Linked DNA regions of Drosophila melanogaster. The protein of the gene in region 2 interacts with the protein of the main gene of each other region in a pairwise test. Each region holds a gene or a part of one and is shown on either strand. Other genes may lie near its edges.

The links.
Region 1: the proteins of CG4982 (region 2) and oc interact in a two-hybrid assay, tested with the Drosophila melanogaster proteins (one large-scale study listed by BioGRID).

Annotation. Positions count from the first base shown.
Region 1 is NC_004354.4:8,648,787-8,652,717, forward strand, and holds the start of oc (ocelliless), read right to left. Parts: upstream 1,896-3,931; 5' UTR 1,589-1,895; exon of another isoform or gene 1,308-1,588; intron 1-1,307. UniProt on the Drosophila melanogaster protein: Transcriptional regulator involved in pattern formation and cell determination in the embryonic CNS and larval imaginal disks.
Region 2 is NT_037436.4:16,299,598-16,302,699, reverse strand, and holds CG4982 (uncharacterized protein), read right to left. Parts: upstream 1,248-3,102; 5' UTR 1,217-1,247; coding exon 1,205-1,216; intron 1,142-1,204; coding exon 812-1,141; 3' UTR 673-811; downstream 1-672. Other genes in the region: CG13044 (uncharacterized protein), read left to right, coding at 1-119.

The DNA.
Region 1 (3,931 bases), on a different chromosome or scaffold from region 2:
CCCAAGAGATCCCCACCAGCTTCACCAGCTACACCAACTGCACGAACTCCGTATCCGAATCTGAAGCCGAATCCGAATCCCATTCTCAACACTTTGATTCGAATGGAGAAAGACTATCGGAATGGGAGAAAAATGAATCGACTTGCATATTTAATATTCAGTTGCTTTATGTTAGAAAACCATATGCAAATTAATAATAAAGCAGAACAACAAAGTAGCCAGCGAGGAGTCAACGTATTATTCAGATATTTTAATTTATAGCCGCCGCTTTGAAATTAGACGATCCGATCGCTAACATCGGGAAGTGGGAATGTGGTGATGTGGGGATGTTGGGAATATGTGTGAATAATGTGACCCGAACGGGTCCGTCGGCTGTCTTCTATTGTATCTAGTATTGATTTTCTTGGGGTTTCTTCGCCGTTGGCCCTATCATTTTGTTAGCCTTTTTTCTATATCACATTTCTCGTATCGATTTGGTCGGCTCTTGCTGGCTTCTTTTTGTTTTGCCTAATTAGGGGAGGCGGCCTTAATATGCCCATTAAAATTATGAAAATCATAACGAATCTCCGAAACGCGCATTTTCTCACATTACGATCAGCACATTAGTCATAGGCGGAAATTTCCTGACCGAAACCAGATTTTTAAAAAAAAGGCTCCATCATATCACGAAGAGCTGAAGGAACTGAAACAAAGTTTCGGGCATGGAATAGGTAACTCTATTGTTGGACTTGGGAGTCCCCGAAATCAATGAATAGTATTCCAATTAAAGACTTCTAAGATCCATTGAATCTGAAGCTAAATAAAGACTAGTATATGTGGCAAAATAATATCGGTTGATTATAGCATTTGGAAGAACATTTTAACCTTGTAAATATATGTAGAAGTGTAAGTGAAAAACAAAAGATCTGTCAAGTTCGGCTAATCGAAAATAGTGAACCAAACATATTATAACATATCTCTAAAGTCTGAGCTTTATAATGAAGAATGAAGATTGGCTCAAGAATAAAGTTGAAGCGATAACGAAAAAGAAAATAATTAAGCTTTACAGCGTGTTAGATCTTTCAATATTATTCCAAGTTTAAAGAGTGTATTTCAAATATGTCATAGATAATGTAAGACTTGTGACCTAATATCTCTGCTAAATAAACAAGTTGATAAGAGTAATCCCTAAGATAGATTCCCGCTCCCCCAAAAACTACTTAGGTCTACAGATTCCCCATGTAATCCGTGCTTATCTCTCGGCTCCACATTCCTTGCTGGATATATAGATTGCTACCGATTTCTCGATATCGGCGGATCGCACTCACCGAAAAAAAAACACAAACAAAACTAGAAGCAAAACGGTGCTGTATTCCAATGGTGACTTGTTTTCGGATCCAACTACTATATGGTTATGGCATGAGTATATTTTACACATGCATATATATAAAGATATATATGTATATTTATATATATATAAATATTGTATTCCAGAGATGTATGTTTTTTGGGCGATGTTTATGGTTTAGCACTGGCAACACGGTAAAAAAACAGATTCTCGTCACTTGGCACTGCGTTATATCCAAAAGGATATATCTCTCTGTATTACTTAGTATTCTCCTCTGGGGCTCTTTGTTTCTCTATAGCTGTGTTAGCTATAGCTTCTCGTGTTGATATTTGTTTATTTGTGTTTGATTGGTTTAGTTTGCTTCGATTTGATTTGATTCGGTTTGGCGACGGCGAATTGATTGTTGTTATTGGCTTGCGCTGGTGCTTGCTTGCTTATCGGCGAACGCGGCGAGTGGCGAGAGCGATCGAACGAGCGGCGAACGGGGCGAATGAGCAACTGAGCAACTGGGCGACGGACGACGCACAAAAACAACCCGAGCGGCACGAAAGTTACTCTGGAAATGAATTGCGGTACACCTTCCACGGACGATGGCAGCGGCGGCAGCAGCGCAGCGAGCAGCGGGCAGAGCAAAAGTCGTTCGACCAGAGTCTGCGAAAAAAGAAAAACAACAAGAAAAAATGTTGGAAGAAGAAGCAGGAAAAAAACAACAAACAAACACCAGCGGTGGTGGAAACGAGAGGGAGAGCGAGTGAGTGCCTGCTTTTAGCAATGGCTGCCCGGCTCTCTACCGCGCGCCAGAGTGAGATAGCCGTAGTTTCGCTCCGTTCCAGTCGTTCAGTATTTCGCTCTCTCTCTCTCTCTCACTCTCTTGCGGCATCTCTCTCGCACGCCGCTTACAACCTGACTGAGTGGGAGCGAGACAACTGCTGGTGGTACCGTTTGCTGAGCAGCTGTATTTACCGCTGTGTTGTTGCTGCTGCGCGTGTGTGTGCGCGCGTGTATGAGCGTGTGTGTACGTTGCTGGTGTGCGTTTGAGTGTGGGACCACACCCCAAAAAAATTCAGTTCAACAACTTTGTTGTTGCCACAAGAGCAAAAAACGAGGAGCAAAAAATACATAGTCATAAAAGGAGGAAAAAAAAGCAACAACGTACCTTCGTATTTTTGCGCGGCAGCAATGAAATTTTAATGAAAACGACAAGACAGCGAAAACAACGCAAAAATTTGTTAGCTAACAGCGAAAGATAAGGAAACGGGGGTAGGTGGCGACGGGCGTTTAAAGGACGCTGGTCAGTACCGCTACTTTTGCTACTGCTGCTGCTACTGCTGCTACTGCTTCTTCTTTAGCTTCCTCCTCTTCTACTTCTGCGTCGCAAATTGCCATGCACACACAACACCAGCGGCGAAAGCGCGACAGGGATGGGGAGAGCCAGCCACTCACACTTGGCACGCCCCCTCTCTTTCGCCCCAATGGGCGGCCCCCATTGTTCAATTATCATTTACGCAAAGTGAGGCGAAAAGAATCGAAACTTAAGGTGGATTTGGGTTTAAAGTCTAGTTTGCTATTCGTGGGCTAAGAATTGCTCAAAAGAGGTCTTTAATAAATGATTTCAATAGATATAGCTATTATAATTATGATTTAGTTTTGCAAAGCGGTTTTGTTAGTTTTAATTTTCAACTAGCTTATAATTATTAATTAGCTTATTTATAAATTCTCTACCATGGCAGTCTAACTGTAAATGATATTTTCGAGCAACCAACACTTTTTGTGCCCAAACATTTTTTTCTGTTATATTTTTGCCTTGTAGCTGACGCAGGAATAAAAATTCGCAGAGTTGGGTGGTTTGGGGGAGCAGCGGAAAAAACCTTATCAAATTTTTATGACAATTTGAAATAGCTGACGACAGTTGTTTGGCCATCTCACTCGCACTAACGGCCCGCAGGTTTGGGCGGCGAGAAAATGTTGCACAAATATTTTATGGATTTTTCTTGTTGAAATTGCTGTGTGCTTATTATTTTTTTTTTATCCAGCTACCGCACTTTTCCCATTTCCAGGCGGGCAAATTAAATTGTTGCGGCTAATTGATGTGTAGATGAAACATGAGGCAATTACCCTTCGAGGGGAAAAGCTTAGCGCACAAATTGGGACTCGGACACAACGAACGGGAAATCTCGAAAAAAAAATTGTACAGAGAGCCCGAAATGAAATAAAACAAAAACCTAATTTTCATGAAAAATGTTGCGGGGAAATGTAAAATGTTTTTGGAGTAAAATTCACGGAGGCAAAAACTGCGCGCAAATGAAAAAGTTTTAGTTAGACAAAAACTGTAATTTACTTACACAATTTACAAATAGTTAATTTAAACTTTCAATAGGAAGTTTGTTTTTTTTTTCACTTCAATTTCAATTGTGAAAAACCAAAATTGAAATAAGACTTTAACAATTATAGGTCTTATCTTTTGGAGTATATGTAAGTAACTAACGCGTAAATTTCATTACATACGAATAAAAACTACAACTGCCAACATGAAAATTGTATCTTTTTTAGTTCGGCCTTTTTCAGCGTCAGCGAATAAAAAACGCAAAGCAAGTAAAAAACCGA
Region 2 (3,102 bases):
CGTATGCCGCTCCTCTGACCTATTCCGCACCGGTGGCCTACTCGGCTCCCCTCTCCTACGCCGCCCCAGCTCCCCTGCTGCACCACGCCCCTCTGACCTACGCCGCTGGCTCCTGGTAATGTGGTGAGGATCGAAAGAGTTTGAACTGTGCCTTTCTAGTTGAAAAAAAATAAGGAAATCGAAAAAAGAATAAATTAAATTGTGAATACCAAACAGATGATGTGAATTTCTTAATGATGTGGGGATATATAAATTAATTCTGAAGTTTACAAAGAAGCGTTCTAAAAAGTGTTCCTACATTTCTGAATGTTTTAAAAACAGAATTAAATTCATTTGAAGTACAAAACTTATTTAACAATGGTATCGATGCACAATAACTAAATACTTCAATAACATTTTGAATAAACCAAAGCTTGAATTTTATTTGTATTTATTTATTTGTTGTCCCAGCAAATAAACAAAAATTTTTTTAATTGAATATTAAATTCAGGTTGTCTTTAAAATCAACAAAATTTAGACTTACTGAAATGTGATTTAAGAGACGCAGTTGCACCCAGCCATATTGGTTTGGTATGTTTTTTGATTATGTACGTTTCCAGAACAAGAACTAATGTTTTCCAATATTACTATATATATTCCAGAGGCTAGTTCACTAAAGCTATCATAGGTACTATGATATTACCTTTACGTCGAACGTTTTTATTTATTGCATATTTGATGTACATTTAAGTTTGCAATACAGAAGAGGTAATATGTTACACATAACCAAAAATGAGATTTTCTGTGGAGAAGGGTTTCTTTGTTCGTTGTTCTACTTCAGATAAATGCTGGGGTAACTGGATACTCCCCAGATTCCCGGCTCGTACCATCCCGCACTGTTGCCCGCGTATCCAAGTGGGGCATACGAGATCGAAGTAGCTGGAGCATAGGCTGCCTTCAGGATGGGCGTGTGATCCACAATGGGGCGCCAGTAGGGACGCTTCTCGTGCACCACTGTGGAACTCTGGTGTGAGACGGCGGCTGGAAGGGCATAACTCTCGTATCCTACGACACTGGGAGCATATTCCACGTGCTCATAGCTGGGCAAGTAGCTGGGGCGAGCCTGGATCAGGACAGCGAATACTCCGCACAAAAGGAACACCTAAGGGGAATAGATATTGCTTTAGGTATTTACCAAATATTATGTGTTATAGGGGCAACTCACAACTTTGAACATCTTCGCTGGGGAAACTCTGCAACAATGTTTGGCAGTGGAAGAAGTCACTCGGGTTTTATACAAGTCCGACCAAGGGAATTGGCTTCTTTACGTTAGAATTGGCACAAACAATCGAGCCATCATCTAAATTTTGTGTGTCTTGTTTTTTTTTTTTTTGTTTTTGCCATACTGATGTTTTTTGCGTTTTTCCTCAAGCCAATTCCCAGGCCCAGATGGCTCATTAGTGACCCATTTGGGCGTAACTGAGCGAGCGGCTTTCGGCCGAGGCGAGGCTAAAGCCGAATAGGTAAATAGGCAAATAAACAAGCCACCCACTTGTGGATACCTGTTGCAGCACCCACACCCATTAAATTGGCTCCCAACTCCTGGTTATTTCTTCTACTTGACTGGCACACAGATGTGGGCCAGCGTTCCAGCCATAAGCCATTAGCATAACCAACAGCCAAACTCTTTTTTTTTCCCCTGGCTCACTGACTATTTTCCCGACTATTTTTGGGTGCCACCAACGCAAATCGTAGGCCAAACACCATATGTCGCATGTGTATGGCCTATACTTTCCTCTAACTTTGCTTATAATTAACCAAACACGCCAAGATTCCCAGCCCATTTGCGGCGACCTTGGCTCTAATTTAATTAAGAAGAAAAACCAAAGCAGAAATATACAAACAAAAAAAAAAAATAGAAGCCCACAATGAGCGTTTTCAGAAGCGAGATACATAACATGACGCTGACAGGCCCCGAAACGATTTAATCATTGGCCAAGTTGCTCTTATTGTTGGCATAGCGACTGCAGAATGCCATTGTTACTGGGATTCGGTCCACTTTGGTCTCTGTGTGCCCGCAGACATTTTGGCCCAGCCAGCTTGGTAGTGTAAATCACTGGTTCGTTTAGCAGTAGTTGGCACAAATCTTTGACTGGCACTTACCGCCGGGTGTAATATTTCCAGCTGCAGAAATAAAAAACCAAGATAAACAAGAAACAAATAAATATGTTAAAAAAAGCTACATAATGGCTATGGCTTTGTGACCAATTCTATTGTTTTAAGCCAGAAAAATTGAGTGTCGTTTTGAAAAATAGTCGTATACTTTTGAGCTGCTATCGTAAAGTGAAGCTTGGTTGTAAGCTTTTCTTAAATAATATAAGCTTTGCCTTTTGCTTAACCCATGATAGCGATTGGGCGCTTATTAACCACTTTGCTCTTTTTGACCAAAAGCAAGAAAATATGGGATTTCTTACAACCAATTAGAACAGGCCAAAGTACCAACAAATATTTTAATCAATTTATTTATGCCTCCAACTCGTACCAAGTTGGTAATGGTAATGGCCAAATCACATAAGGAAGTGAATATTTCCACGAAGAACTTGAGCTTCGGCTAATCCACTTTTCCAAAACAATTCCATATGCAATCTCCAAGTAATTGGAATATTGACAAATGGACAAGAGTTTTAAATAGTCTGGCTAATAGAAGTTGACTGCGTCCACTGGGACTGGCCCGAATTCAACTCGAACTCAACTGCTTTTGTATCTGTATCTTTGGGTTGTCACCATGAAACATGCAACTTAATTAGCTGTAGTAAGCAGTGCCCAGTCTGAGATTTTTGTTGTAATTATTGGTGCAAAGTAGCAACACTCTGAGCTGGCCTTATCTGCTCGTTATCGGTGCGACTCAGCTTGGCCTGGCCAAAAACAGTATTGAAAATCGCTCATACGCCATGTAATTAGATTTGTAATAGCCACATCCGCCTCCAGGCCTAAACGTTTGGAAAATGCCTGGCTAGGCCACTTCTTGCATCGCCTTTTGGGATTTGCTGTCAGCGTGTTTTTGTGGGGCGTGTGATCTGCATTGTCTTATTAATTTTAATGACTGAATTATACAAAACTAGA